Linked DNA regions of Pelodiscus sinensis. The protein of the gene in region 2 binds, or shares a complex with, the protein of the main gene of each other region. Links are inferred from orthologs where the notes say so. Each region holds a gene or a part of one and is shown on either strand. Other genes may lie near its edges.

The links.
Region 1: the proteins of NPR3 (region 2) and NPPC are in contact, whole or in part, in a crystal structure (PDB 1JDP), measured with the Homo sapiens proteins. The link is inferred for Pelodiscus sinensis from reciprocal best matches to the Homo sapiens genes NPR3 and NPPC. Residues at the interface, in NP_001191304.1 of Homo sapiens: Asn110, Tyr138, Ala141, Pro142, Arg145, Ala161, Gly163, Phe164, His166, Glu170, Tyr171, Tyr204, Lys208, Leu209, Arg211, Tyr214, Phe215, Leu217, Glu218, His221, Glu222, Gln225, Ile233; in NP_077720.1 of Homo sapiens: Gly109, Cys110, Phe111, Gly112, Leu113, Lys114, Leu115, Asp116, Arg117, Ile118, Gly119, Ser120, Met121, Ser122, Gly123, Leu124, Gly125, Cys126.

What each region holds. Positions count from the first base shown.
Region 1 is NC_134720.1:49,834,590-49,842,604, forward strand, and holds the start of NPPC (C-type natriuretic peptide), read left to right. Parts: upstream 1-5,015; 5' UTR 5,016-5,154; coding exon 5,155-5,247; intron 5,248-6,693; coding exon 6,694-6,951; 3' UTR 6,952-6,971; intron 6,972-8,015.
Region 2 is NC_134716.1:107,934,536-107,941,493, reverse strand, and holds the start of NPR3 (atrial natriuretic peptide receptor 3), read right to left. Parts: upstream 3,004-6,958; 5' UTR 2,678-3,003; coding exon 1,987-2,677; intron 1-1,986. UniProt on the Homo sapiens protein: Receptor for the natriuretic peptide hormones, binding with similar affinities atrial natriuretic peptide NPPA/ANP, brain natriuretic peptide NPPB/BNP, and C-type natriuretic peptide NPPC/CNP.

The sequences.
Region 1 (8,015 bases), on a different chromosome or scaffold from region 2:
GGACCCTTCCAAGCGAGTGTGTGTTTTCCCACCACCCTCCTCCATGGCTACACTTAACAGGTCCTGGTATCCCTCCCAGCAAGGGCTCTGCCCAACACTTCCCCCAGCAGATGTCTGCTCCCCGTGGGCCTTTTTCTACCTCCCACCACCGGCAGCCTAGACCTACTACTCATCCAGCTGCCAGGTTTTCCTTATATCATGCAGGGCTGTCATATAACTGGCTACATCAGACACAGGTGAGCCCAGTTTGGAGCGGCTGCACTGAGCCATTCATGAAAAAACAGCTGGTCGGGGGACTCTAGAACCAATCAGAGTTTCCCGGGTCTTGAATTCCAAGCCCTGTGCGGCAAGGTCTTGCTCAGTGGAAAGTGCCAGCTACAGTGCAGACATGCCCATGCATGTCAGAACCCATGGCCAAAGTTTTCAAGCGGAAGTGCCTCAAGCAAGGCACCTAAATTCAAATCTCAGCCTAGATCCTCAAAGCCGAGGGGAGTGGGGTGCAAAAGCCCCTTTGAGGGTCTGGACCCTTGTAGCTCCGTTTTCGCAGTCCTGCGCCCGTCTCCTCCCATCAGTCTCAGGGAGAGCCAGGCTGCTCAGCACCCCTGAAAACCAGGATCTGCCCAGCCATGGCTTCCTCTGGATTTAAATGACCGACTTTGGGCAGTTAGGTTTGCAACTGTTGGCCCATGTCACGGCTCACCGCAGCCAAGAGGACGGAAACTGCGGGGAGGGGTTTAAAAATCCAGGATAGGGAAACCAGTCCGGGCAGGTACACACAGTGCATCTCCTGCCCTCACCCTGTGTGTGCGGGGGGGGGGGGGCTGTCAGTGTGGCAGGGGAAGGCAAACCCACAAAATCCCCTCTCCCCGCTGATGCTCTTAGGACAGTCTCTTCACAGCTGATTTTGTACGGCCTCCTTTTTAAAAAGTACAAACCCTGAATTTGGAGCTGAAAATCCTGGGATTCGCCCCGCCCCCTTCCCAGACACAATATTTAATGAACCCCCTGAACTCTCCCATAAAGGGCAGCAGGTTTGATGGGTTCTCTTATCCCAAGAAAGTCTTAGAGGCTTCACTTCCCGCCCTGTGGGGTTCGCAAGACAGCCGCTGCTCTGGGGGGACCTAGACCCTCTTCTGTCTATACCGCCTTCGCGCCCAGCGATGCCACCTGCAGCCATGCCAACAGGGCAAAGCTAAATGGCTCTGGGGGGTAGATGGCTACAGATACACTTCTGGGCATGTGCCTGCAGCAGGCCCCCTGACATGTCCCCCACCCCCGGCCAGGTGCTGTCTCGGTGCCGGAGTGGGAGCTGTTGCTTCTGCTTCTCTGATCCCATGGCTGTTGTTCCCAAGGCGGCAGCAGTGACGTCCTGATTCTGTGTCCGCACTGGTGTAGATCCAGGATTGACTCCATTGAAGTCAGTGGAGCTGCCCCTAGGGGAGAAGCAGAGTCAGTGAGATCAGGAGCAGCGGGGCCCACTCGTGCCTGGCCCCCCCTTTATTAAAGCTCTGAGGTGGCTGCGAATGGCGAGGGTGCTGCAGCATCATCTCCGGGGTGTTTCCGTCCCCGTAAGGACAGAGGGCTGGTGGAGGTTTCTTTGGTGCCTCACTGTTCCCAAGGCAGTGCCAGCTTGGAAGCACAGCCCCTGGGGCCGGGAGGTGTTTCATGAGCAGGGGACATGTGGCTGAGCCAAGCAGCCCCCGTATAAAGACAGTGGCCTGGAAATTCCATCACACGGGACAGCAGCAAAGGTCTGAGACTAACCCCTCCTCCGCCACTGCTCCGGCCAGGGACAGGTTGCCTCCAATCAGCCCGAATGGGAACTCCCTGGGTCACGGGCATCGCGAGAAAAATGGGCACCACATTGGGGCAGGCTGGGCTGTGTCCAAGGTCAGAGGTCAGAGGAGTTCATGGACATCCGGAACCTCCAGCTTGTGATCCAGCTGCCCATGGCCTGTGATTTGCTGGCCGATATTGACAAGGGCCCAGAACCCCAAAGATATGTAGGCACCTACCATTGAAATCAAGGGTCTAATAAGCGAACTTGCCCCCCATGGGGTTTCAGTGAATGTTACCAGTTACCTATGTTACCCCTCTACATCAGGCTGGCCCATGCCCAGCCCTGGCTAATGGCCTGGGTTATCACCGCTGGCGCTGAAGGAATTAGACAGGGCATTAGTCAAGGCAACCTTCAGCCCCCGCCATGAGCCCATACTGAAAATTACCCCCCAAGTAAAGAGCAAATGAAAGAGACAAGGACAATGGTTTGTTTGTCACTTCTTTGGCCCCATCCCCCGTGGGCTGGATCGCCCCTTTGAGGGCATGATGTTAAATAAACTGAGGTTTGGTTACAGTTCCCAGTGTTCCTCCCCCATGTGGACCCCGAGTCCAGACCCTTTGGCAACAGCGCCCCTGGCTGCCTCCCTTGCCGTGGGCCTGGCCTCTGGCCCTGTGTAGACGTGGTTTGAAATGTTTGATGTGGCACCGGTTTAAAGCTGTGTTTGAAACGATCTCGGCCCCACAGGGGTAAGTCCTCTTGCCGGATGGATGAGGCTGATCATGACAGGCACTAGGGAAGGATGTGTCGCTCCCCCTTCCGGCCCCCCGGCATGCTGGCTGCAGGGCCATGTCTCTGGTCCATTCAGTCACTCCTGCACCCGTCTTCTTTTTCCTGCCCCTCAGAGTGATTTGCATTTCATGGGGCCTTACCCAGCTGTGAGCTGTGTATGTGGCATTGCAGGCTCCAGCGGCCAGCCCCATCCCTCAGCAGGGCCATCTCTAGGGGGCCACAGAGCCTGGGACAACCCCACCCTGCTCCCTCCCCTCCACAGCCCCTAAGCCCTGACCCCACTCTGCCCCTCCCCTCCCCCGCTTCTCCCGAGCCCCCTTCTCCAAGTGACTGTGGCCTATGGATTAGTGGAGGGCCTGGTGCTGGCAGCGGGGTCAGCCTGCCCCCACACTCGGGAAGCCGAGTGAGCTAGCCCCAGCCCGTTCTAATCATGACACCGCTGAATGTGCTGAACCCAGCGTCCGACCGTTCCTGCCTGGCTTTTGTAGCCCTTCCCCACCACGCCGCAGCTCAATAGTTCAGCGCCAACGCTACCAGGGAGCTGCAAAGTCCTTCCCCTCTGCCAAGCTCCATGCCAGCTAGATGCTCTTGTAGCCCCTGGAATGTCACTGTCCAGCCAGGAGGTTCCAAGGTGCTGGTCTGCCATGGCGGGACAAGGCCTTGCACCCTGGTGGGTTTGTAGTGGGGTCCAGCAGAGGACCTGCGAGAGGTCAGGAATTAGACTCCAGACCCTTTGGCAACAGCTCCCCAGGCCACCTCCCTTGCTGTGGCCCTGGCCTCTGGCCCTGTGTAAAATGAAGCGTTTCTTCACCCTCCCGGACACTGACGAAGAACCTGCCACAATCAGACACTACTGCAAACCTCACAGGTGTGGGGCCCTTAGGACCAGCTCCCCTCGCAGACTGGCTGCCTGTCACCCTGGGGCTGCTGCCTCTGAGACAGAGGCAGCAGCGTGAGGTGGCAGCAGCCTCTCTCCAGCGGGGTGATGGTGTCTGAGCTCCCGAACCTGGCGCAAGCCAGGACTGAGCCGGGCTGCCTAACGCACTTTAAATGCAGAGCCACAGTAGGGGTAGGTCCTGGACCTGGCACAAACCAGGACTGAGCTGGCTGCTGGCCAGCCTGCTAAAAAATGTACTGGCAGAGGGGATGTGTGTAGTCTACAGCATTAATCAATATGCTTTTGCTTATCGGTGAATCAGTTAATCGATTAATCAACTACTCTATGACATCCCTAGTCCAGAGATCACTGAAGTGTGGCCACCACTGGGGAGGTGACTCTGATCTCACCTGCTTTTCTTCTCTTCCTGCCCTAAACTGACCAGTGTTGCTGTGAGCTGTTAAAAAGCTGCCTCCTTGGACCCCAGAGGCAGCCCCATTGCAGAGTCCTGCCTAGATCCTTTGAACAGACTCTTTGGGGAAGAAAAGTCCTAGCCAGAAAATAAGATACTGGGCCAAATTCTGCTCTCGGTTCCTCCTCTGCAGTCCTGGTCACTGGGGCATGAGCCCTCCAAGCTCCAGTCTCTGCCCCCCAGGAACAAACCCAGGAGCTGAAAGCAGCCCAGAGCATCCCAGCCTGGCAGGGACCTGAGACTGGGTCCTTCCAGCTCCCCCGGCTCAACCCCCTTTGTGCCCAGCAGCCCGGCCGGGGCAGAGTCCTGCCCCACTGCACGCAGGCGGCTGGGGGGCGCAGGCCTGACCCCAGGCAGGGGGCAGCGCTGGAGCCCTGCTGAGTAATCACCCCCCAGAGCTTCTCCCGGCTGCCAGGTACCAGCGCTGCCTCCCCAAGGCGCAGGGAGCTCCTGGCCCCCGGCCTGCGCCTAGCTTCGTGGGCAAGGGACTCCCCCCCCCCCCGCGCTGCCCCGAGTCCAGGCGCCGAGACCCCGGGCCGTGGGGAGCGGCCAGGCGGGTGGCGGGGCCCGGGCCGGGTTCCGAGCCAGCGCCCCGGCTGCGGGAAGCCCCGACACGGCGCGGAGCGAGCCGGCCCCGGGCGCCCCGACTCTCCCGGCGAGGACCCAGCGCTCGTCGGCAGCGCGGAGCGGGCTTGGCTCAGAGCCCCCGGCCCGGAGCCCCGCTCCCGCCCTGGCCCGGAGGGGCCACCCCGGGGCCCCTGGCGCCCCCCAAAGCCCCGGCAGGTGAGCGCCGGCGGGGGAAGCCCCAAGCGGGGCCGGGGGCGCAGCCGGAGCCACCTGCTTTGGGGACGAAGCGCCCGGGGCCGGCGGGTGGCTCGAGCTGGCGCCGGGCAGGGCGGGCTGGGGGTGGCCGCGGGCTCCCCGGAGGGGTCGGCCCCGCGCGCCCTGCGCCCCCGGCACCAAGCGGCCAAGCTGCGCCCAGCCAGCCCCACGCGTGTCACGGGGGCCGCCGCGCGCTGGCGGAGCAGGGGGCTGGGCCGGACCTGCGGGGCAGATGACATCACCAGGCAGGTTGGGCTATAAAGGGGCTGGAGGAGCAGCCCCGAGCCCGGGCTCCGCACTTCGAGGAGCAGCAGGGTCGGGCTCGCGGCGCGCGCGGCTGACTCCCCTGGCTCGGCTCGGCTCGGCTCGGCGCGGCTCGCTCTGCCCGAACGCAGCGGGGCCCTGCCCCCCAGCATGCGGCTCTCACAGGTCCTGGCGTGCGGACTGCTCCTGGCCCTGCTGGCCGTCGGGCTGGAGGCGAGACCGGCGGCTCAGCCCCAGCAGAAGGTGAGGCGCGCTGGGCGCTGCGCCCTGGGGGGAGCCGAGAAGTTCAGGGACGGGACGGGGACCCCCAGCCCGCCCCGGGAAGGCGGATTCCCGGGGGAGGAAGGGGAACTCTGACAAGCGGGGTGGCTCCTTCCCTCCCGCAGCCCTGCCCCGCGCTGCTCCGTGCTGGGGCTTTTGGGGAATGTGGGGGCAGATCCCCCCCCCCCGCCTCCGGCGCAGCCTCCTGCTCTTTGGAGCTTCCCCCCTTTAGCCTTTTGGCTGCTGCTGGGTCTCAGGGTCTCCCGGCGTGTCCCTCCCCCCCGCCAGACCCCGGCTCCGGGTGGGGACTGGCCGCTCCGGCGGAGGCAGCTCTGCGCTCTGCTTTCCAGCCCGCTGGTGCTGAGGGAGAAGGGGGCTGGAGCGGAGCCGCCCCTCCCTGCCGGGTGTCACTGACCAGCCTCTGGCAGTGGGGCGGCCGGCAGGTGCATCGCGGCGCCCGTCGGTGCTGACTGCAGGAGGCAGCAGCAACCTGGGGGCTGGGACCCGACGGGCCAGGCCAGGGCCGGGGTCCTGGGCGCAAGGGAGAAGCTGGAGGGGGCGGGGACCGGGTCCCGCTGCACCATCTGCGGGTGGGAGGGGAGATGCCCGAGAACTCTGGGAGCGCGCAAGCGGGCGGGGGGGGGGGGATCTAGAACGGGGCGTCCCGGGGGCTGGAATCCGGGCTGGGGGGGTCTTTGGTGCCAGGAGGAGGCGGTTGGGATCGGGGCGGACGGAGGCTGGTACGGGGGGAATCGGGGCCGGAGGGATCGGGGCCGGTGGGGAGGCTGGGATGGGGCCGGAGGGATCGGGGCCGGTGGGGAGGCTGGGATGGGGCCGGAGGGATCGGGGCCGGTGGGGAGGCTGGGATCGGGGCCGGAGGGATCGGGGCCGGTGGGGAGGCTGGGATGGGGCCGGAGGGATCGGGGCCGGTGGGGAGGCTGGGATGGGGCCGGAGGGATCGGGGCCGGTGGGGAGGCTGGGATGGGGCCGGAGGGATCGGGGCCGGTGGGGAGGCTGGGATCGGGGCCGGAGGGATCGGGGCCGGTGGGGAGGCTGGGATCGGGGCCGGAGGGATCGGGGCCGGTGGGGAGGCTGGGATCGGGGCCGGAGGGATCGGGGCCGGTGGGGAGGCTGGGATCGGGGCCGGAGGGATCGGGGCCGGTGGGGAGGCTGGGATCGGGGCCGGAGGGATCGGGGCCGGTGGGGAGGCTGGGATGGGGCCGGAGGGATCGGGGCCGGTGGGGAGGCTGGGATCGGGGCCGGTGGGGAGGCTGGGATCGGGGCCGGAGGGATCGGGGCCGGTGGGGAGGCTGGGATCGGGGCCGGAGGGGAGGCTGGGATCGGGATCGGGCGGCTGGAGTCGGGCCGGGATCGGGGCCGGGGTCTGTGCCGCTTTCACGCCATCGCGCCCCGCGCTCCTCCCCGCAGGCTGCCCGGAACGCGCCGGGACGCGAACCCGCGGCGAGCCCCGCGCGAGAGGAGACTGCGGGCGGCGGCCGGGCAGCGGGCTCGCGGCTGCTGCGGGAGCTGCGCGTGGACACCAAGTCCCGGGCGGCCTGGGCCCGGCTGCTGCGCGACTACCCCGGCACGCGGCGGCACAAGGGCGTCAGCAAGAAGGGCCTGTCCAAGGGCTGCTTCGGCCTCAAGCTGGACCGGATCGGCTCCATGAGCGGCTTGGGCTGCTAGAGCGGCGACCCCTGGCGGCGGTGAGTGCCTCCTGCAGCCGGCTGGGCCGGGGCTGCACCTGCCGCGCGCGGGTCCCGCAGCCCCTGGGCTCCAGCTGCCCCCCAGCACAGCCCCACCCAGGGCCTCCTTAGCGTGTATGGGGCCCTACAGGACTGGTAAACTGGGCCCCGTGTGACGATTTTGTAGAGCCGTGATTTTATACTGACATGCCTGTGAAATGGCTTCATGACCCCAGCATGGCTCTTTCCCACGCTCCGTGCGCTGCCCATGGCTCTAGCAGGCTTTGTCACCTTTCGGTTAGCCAGATCCTCTCTGGCGGAAGCTCAGCCACAGAACAGGGATACTAAGACCCAGCGGGGCCCCTATGTAGCTGCACATTCTGCATATGGGTAAGGATGGCCCTGCCCCACCCCCCGCCTGTCTGCTCTGTCCTGAGCTGGCCAAAGCCACCAGCAGGGCATGACTGGCTCAGTCCAAGGGTCGGTCCAGTCCAGCGACAGTGGCCCCGGGGGGAATGCACAGATCAGGGCTATGGAGTGAGCCAGTCCCAGCTTCTGGTGCTCAGAGCTGTGGGGGACACACCTGAGCATGGTGTCTGGACACTGTATCAGTACAGAGCGTGTCTCCCCCATGGTGGAAATGCAGCCATGTCTAAGGTAGGATGGTGGGAACCAGCAAGATGCACAGTGGGGGAGGGTGCAATGGGGCCCAGGAAACACAGCCGAGTACCGTCACCCAACTAGGGAGGAACAGCCTAAGGAAATTCCAAATCCCCCTGTGTAATGTCTGATTTTGCTCTGGCAAGGCCAGGAGGCTGAGGCAGCAGCTTCACCTGCTTGGAATTGTTAAAGGTGTCTGTCAGATGCCCATCCCATAGCATCTGTGCTAGTATCTGCGGGCAGCTCCCTCTCGCTAAGGGCCAACCAGAGCTGTGGGGCACATGCAGAATTCAGCTGGGTTCACCCAAACTACCAGTTTCAATTTGTACAGGACGCTCCCCTTCTCATCCCAAAATGTGCTAGATATTAAAGTCCCTGGCTCATTAGCACACAGTGAGCAGTCGT
Region 2 (6,958 bases):
GAAAGTGCAAGACTCAGTATTTAAATGTAACCTTAAAGGAACTATATGCCCACCTTAATTACTGTATGGCAAGTTCCCATAAAGTTCTAAGCAGGTTACTCAGAAACCACATGCAATTTTCATACTCAAATACACCACACAAGCATCCTATGTTTCTTTTACTCTTACGTTTAGATTATTTGGTCTGGTTATTTAGATTATTTGATTATTTATCTATTACTATGTTGTGTGTGTGAGAGAGACATAATATTGCTCAGTCAGTCTTCAAGTGCCTCAGACCAACAGGGAAATCTGCCCTTTGAGATGTCTCTGCATAACAGATGACATACATATGCAATGAGAAACACAGCAGAGCCAGTGTAAAGTTTCTGCAGTGTATATCCCACCCCCAACAACTTGCATAACTGGCTCCTTTGATAGCTACCATAGTGCTGAACTAAAACAACCTAAAAGCCATCAGTGTGAGACCTGAACGGAGGAAAACTTCCCGATCTGAATAAAAACAGGAAACGACACAAAAGATATGCCCTACTGATAGTGTGAGTGGTCGTTTGAAAGCACAAAATAGCCTAGAAAATTTCCTACTTATCTCGAAGTACAAGTAATATTTCTAATATGGACCGTGTTAAGTGAAGCCCTAGAAAAAAATCTGGCATGTCGTTTGCTATTATGTACCTGAGAAAACAACTAGTAGTACCCGCTTGTAAAACAGAAAAAGCAAAGACACGCGAAGAGCTAGCTGAAGAAAAGATACTCGAACATTTAGCTTCAACAGGAGATAAACAACCAAGCAATGCCTGACGGTTTAAATCGTTCTGGACCAATGTTGTTATCCCTTCCTGAGCATTTTCATAATCACAGTCGGGTTTATTCATCATTTCTTGCGCACAGTGGTTTGGATTTCAGATTACTCTGCCCCCGAGCCTTGATAAGCAACTCTGCTTTTATCAACTCACATGCATGTCTCTGTGTTACTTCCCCAGGAGTTTGCTTTGCTTTCAGACAGAGCCTCAATGTCAGCCCGGCTGAATGCAGCTACAAAGAACTGCATCACAGACCAGACACGCTGCCACGTATGTCCATGCACCTACGTCCCCTCTCCCCTAGTTCAGGTGCACAGGGCGAGAACAGCGCCGGAGACATGCAGCTCGCTGCACGCACTAGTTCCCAGGGAAGGGAGCTGGCGCGCGCTCCGGAGCCGTGTGTCTGAGCCGGCGTTACTCAAAGGGACTGTGAGTGAGCGCGTCCAGCAAGCCGCGGGCAGGACTGAATTCCGAGCGGCATGTTTTGCACGCTAGGACGCCCCTCAACGCCCCCTATGTGCAGGCAGTGCGCGTGGGAATGAAGCACTGTGGCACCCGGGCAGAGCAATCCCCGCGCAATGACTAGCCACAAAGGGGATTGGAAGACCATCCCCCTAATCCTCGCACAATGCTGCATCTTTCCTCCAACGGGGGCGGCCTGCGGTCCCAATTCCCGCAGGTCACGACCCGGCAGTGACTGGCTGCCCATGAAGATCTGCTCCACTACACCCCTGGGAGACGGATGTTCAACCCTCTTGACCCGCGCGCAGCCATGTACGCCAGGCGAGTCTCTGCGGACTCGGGTCCAACAGAGTCTCGCACCCGCTCGGAGCTGGTGCAAGGCGGCGGAGCCTGAGCCACAGCGCCTCCGCACGGCCACACAAGGGGGCTAAGCGCCTCCACCAGGCGCTTTCGGCGAGGCTGGCTCAAGGCTTGGGCAGGCAGCGCTTGGGCCAGGTTTTTATGGCGGGTGCCCGATGGGGGAAGGGGGCGATGATTTGGCCAAGGCTCCTCCAGCGGCGCCGGGGGGACTGGTTTGGAGAAAGTTCCCTCTGGAGGCGCTGGCGGGAGCTGGTGAGCGCAGAGGGGAACCGCCGGGCTATAGCCATGGCTGGCTCCTGCTCCAGCGGAGCGTGAGCGAGGGTTTCCCGCCGCAGATGCCCCGGGCCGACGGCTCACTCACCTCGCTCCCCGGCCTGGATGGAGCGCACGATCTCGTCCAGGTCCAAGTAGCGGCCGCTCTCGTCGAAGCTGTGCACGGCCATGTGGAACGCCTCCTCCTGGAAGACCACATGCACCCCCTCCATGGTGAAGTAGCAGTTGCGCTCCTGGTTGTTGTCGCTGTAGAGCAGCGTGGCCCGGCTCCACTTGTGGTGCCGGAAGAGGGCCAGGAACATCTCGCCCATCTTGGAGTAGGCGGGCGAGACGCGGATCAGGTGCGAGTACTCGCCCGTCTTGGTGCTGAAGCCAGTGGCCAGCGCCCCCGCCGAGATCATGGGCAGGTTCCAGTGCGAGGCCAGCCGAGCCACCGGGGCAGCCGCGTACTCGCAGACCGGCCCCAGCACCAGGTCCGGTTTCTGCTGCTTCAGGGCCACCAGGTCCACCAGGCTGAAGAGCGCCCGGTTGCCGCACTCGGAGTCCTCGTAGATGGTCTCGAAGCGGTAGCCCGGCAGGCAGGTCCCGTTCTCCTGCAGGCTCCGCACGGCGTACTCGATGCCTGGCTTGACCCTGGCCACGGAGAACAGGTAGGAGTTGTCCTTGGGCAGCAGCACCAGGACCCTGATCAGCTTCTCCTCCTCGGGGCTGCTGCTGCTTGCCAGGAGCATCCAAGCCGCCAGGACGCAGGGGAGGCTAAGTGAGAAGAAGGATGGCATTGTTTCAATAGCAGTGAGCTCCCTCCCCCCTCTCGCTGCTGCCTCCGAGTCCCCCTGGGTGCCCTGCACAGAACAAGAAAGTGCTACCAACCTCTTCCCCCTGCACACTTTAATACAGGGATCAAACGCCTGGGGTGAGAGGCAGCTGCTGGGCTCTCGCTCCGTTGTTGGGTGGCTTATTTTTAAGGGTGTTTTTCAGGTTAACTGGCCCAGCAACTTGCTAATGGTGGGGCATCTTCCTCCCCACGCGCTGCCTCCTTCCTGATCTTATTGATCCTCCCTGGTCTATAGCCCTGTGTTTAAATAGTGTGGGAGCCAACGCGCCTGTTGCCACACATGGCGCTGCGAGGCCGGGTTTGTGTTTGGGGAGGAGCCGTTCATTAACATTCCTGCAGGGCTGATCCGCCCCTCCGCCCTCCTCCCCCCCAAGAAAATCCCGACTCCCCCCAGCCCGCCACCCCTCTTCCTGTACCCAGCCAGCCGTCCATCCCGTCCGGGAGCGCTCTGATGAGCTGTGACTGCAAATAGGGGAGCAAGGGGAGAGGTGCGGAGGCAACGAAACAAATCGTTCTCCCCCTTTGCAATGCGGACTTTGGATATCCCTGCACCCCCATCGTGCGCGTGTCCCATCAGGGCGTGTAAAAGACGCGTTTAAAATCCGGACCTGGGGATGCGGCGAGCGCGAGTAACACGCACGAAGTTGGCTCGTAATGCTGTAGTAACTGTGGATGGGAAGCGGCTGGGCCAGTGCAAGAGGCAGCCAGCCTGTCCCGGAGCTAAAGCAAAGCACCGGCGTTTAGTAGCGCTGCTCTCCGGACTGCGAGCTGCCCTCCGAATGAATTAATCCCCCAGCCCCACCAATAAAAGATCCTGTCATGCAACAGCAGCCCCCGCTGGAAGTGGCAGAGTGGCTGTGAGAAATGCTCTGGGCAAAAGCACCCTGCAGCTGTTCTGCAGCAAGGGAAGGTAGCGGTCAGCTAGTCAGCGGTCCTGCTGGGATCAGCACAGGACCTGGAAGGAAGAGGACATAGTAGCTGCTTTCCTTGGGCCCCCAGGCAGGATCCCAGACAGAGCAGTATTATAGTGGGCAGTTTGGTACTGCGCTCAGCGTGCCACATGGGCTCCGGCTGAGTGGTACCTTAGTGCGAGAGCGCACCCATTGCCACGAGTGGAGCAACTCCTCGTGGTAGAACAACTCAGCCCCAGAGTGGGTGACGAGCGTACGGGCTACTTCCTGTATTTCACTGGCAGTTCCATGGGAATCAGTGGAGTAGCAATGTGAGTAAAGCTTGCAGTATCTGCCCCTAAATTAACATGTGCTAATTGTGCCCTTGTTTCTGGGGTTGTGTGGGAGAGAAAGCCCTGCTACTTGTCACAGCTTTCTTGGGGAGAAGCATAATTGAAACACTAGCATCCAGGGATTCCCAGAGGATAGATCTAAGAGGCTCACTAGGGTCAGGGAGTAGGTAGGATTTTGGATGTGACCCACAAACTATCCAGCAGAACTGGTCGGCAGCATGAGAAGCAAACTGCCTCCTTTAAAATGATGTAAATACCCCCACTCCATGAAACCGAGGAGATCTGGGAAACATTGTGCCACTCTGAGACAGTGCCCCATGGTGTAACCCTTAGAACAGTTCTGCATTACCCCTCCTTAGGAGCTTAATAGACACAGTTTAATTCCGCAGAAGACTTTGTGTGCCCCAGGAAATAAAGTGTCTAACTAAAAGCAAAACTTGTTTTTCACTTATATTATTTCATATAACGAACTTGTATTTACTGTTCAGAGAATTGCTTATTTAACACTATGCTTTGGTGTGAAAAATTCCCTTAAGTAGTTTGGACACCACTGTCTGACTAATTTACTTAGCTGTTGTCCATGGTAGAAAAAAACAACAATCTTGTTTTTAATATGTATTGCTAGCAAAGAACTATAACTTTTGGAACTGCCACTTGCAAATGGATGATTTTTTTCTGAATAAGAAACCTTTCTCAACACTAAATATTGAAAAGAATTAAAATGATATAGTGAAGGAAGATAGGAACAGAGTGGAGAGGAGAACTAACTGCATTTATCACTTGTAAATGCGAGATCTCTGTGATTCTGCATATTTCATATTGGTCAGTGGTCCTTGTCTGCACGCACAGAGTAATACTGCATAATGTTACATTTTATACTTATTAGGAGAGGCCCCAGGTTATACTGGTGGGTGAGTGAACTGCTTCTAACCTTACAGGAGGGGTCTGTTTAGCTCAGGGTTGAGGTCATTGTCAGGGCAATGTCTATAAACAAATTGTTGCTGCCTTACTGTACAGAGTGCAAATTGGAGACTTTGGTTCCTAGTGGAATCCAGCTGTTTGTCTTTGAGAGCAGTGAAGTCTGAATTAAACACAGGAGGAAACTACAAATGCTTGTAAAGCAATTAAACTAAGCAATGGAATTAAAAATGCCCAATCACATTATTTTATTTCCTGTGCACAGCAACTAAACAAAAATTAAACTAGGATATTTTTCTGGAATATTTATCAAATGGAGATTAGCCAAAAATAAGATGCAGAAGTTCTAGGAGAAGCAACTTGCCTGGAAGATATACATTTCAAGTAATTATGTGATTACTTAATTTGGTTTCAGAATGGTTTTTAAGTTAAATGGGTACATCTGTTCCAATGAAGATAATTTTGTATGCTGCATTGCCAGCCCCTGCTTTCCATTGACCCCACATGTCTGTTTATGACACTGCAACCTGGCAACATCTCTTAGTTTTTTTTGTTCAAAATTTGTCTTTCATTTGTGTGTGCTGCTTTTTGTCTGAGAGCATAAACTGTGCCAATATGGAAGAGATAAGAAGCAAACAAATCACAAGTCAGCCATCCTAATTTATTTTAACTACTCCTCAGGGAATATAAGGTACTAAGTATACAGGACAAAAATGATAAAAAGAAGACTGGAAAATACCAGTTGCTAATAGAAGCTTGAAGGCCAGTTTTGATATATAGATGCAGATTTGGATTTAGGCCTGCCCCAACCTGCAACTCTTATGCACTTGAGCATTGCCATTCAATCTAGTGGATATCTGCTTTAATAAACATTTCTGGATCAGATCCTTAAAGCACCAGGATCTTTTGGAGCCCAAAGTGTATGTATAACAATTTATTGTTGATCCAAATTGCATCTATCATTTAATCCACCTTCTCATGAGTAAAAATACAGTATGGCCACAAATATTTTCCAGGGCTATAAATCTAAGATTGCTTTCTCATGAGCAAACATAAGTAATTTCAGCTACATACACAATTGTTAAGAGGAAAATCTTGTACAGTCCTGAATCTTTTGTCAGGCAACATGCCCATTGGCTACAATAAGAATGAAGATTTCAGAATCTGTCCCTTTAGGATTAAGATAATTATGAAATGGTATTTTCCTCCCAAAATAGCATGCATACCAATCAAGAGTAGAGTCACTGTTCCAACACAAAGCATTACAGTAAATTGTACTTTTTATTCTGGAAGGCTTAATTCCTAAATTAAAGTTCCAGATAACATTAAGAACAGTTTATGAAGCCTCATCTAGTTTAAGAAAGTTCTTCTTGGGGGAGGGTTTGATGAAAACACAGTACCCCCTAGAGGTTGAAAAGATGAAAGAACTTAATACTGTCTGCTGTGCAAATAATTTCCTACTTTTTCAATTTTTAAATTCTTTCCCTGTTTTCCTATGCAGTTTTTATTTTATTTTGTTGTTATATTGTATATTATGGATGTGCTATTGATTCATTATATATCTCAGTGTATCTTTTTCATGTTTTTGTACATAATGTTAAGTGAAATGCAACCAAGCTTTTAAATGAAGATACTACAGCATGAAATTTCATGAAGGACAAAACTCATAACAAAAAATTAAATTAAACAAATTAATATAAGATCTTCTTTAATGTTTTTTCTTTTGTTATTGAAATACATAAAGGAAATTCACCAACAATGAGTGATGTATATTAGGGCCAAAGAGGATATATTAGAAAACCTAGTTTAATAATACAAAAATAATAATTAATAATGAATAACGTTTTGGTTCTGTGGTGACTTCTATGTGCAGATCCCAAGTACCTGGCAGATTAACAAATTAAACTTCACTGTACACCAAGCCTATTTGAAAGATAAGTAAATATAATTAGTTCAGTTTTACAGATGGGGAAACAGAAGGGTTAAGGGGATTGATTATGGCCACACTAAAGGTCTGAGATAGATCATGGGAAAGAACTTGGATCATCTTCCTCCAGTGCTGGA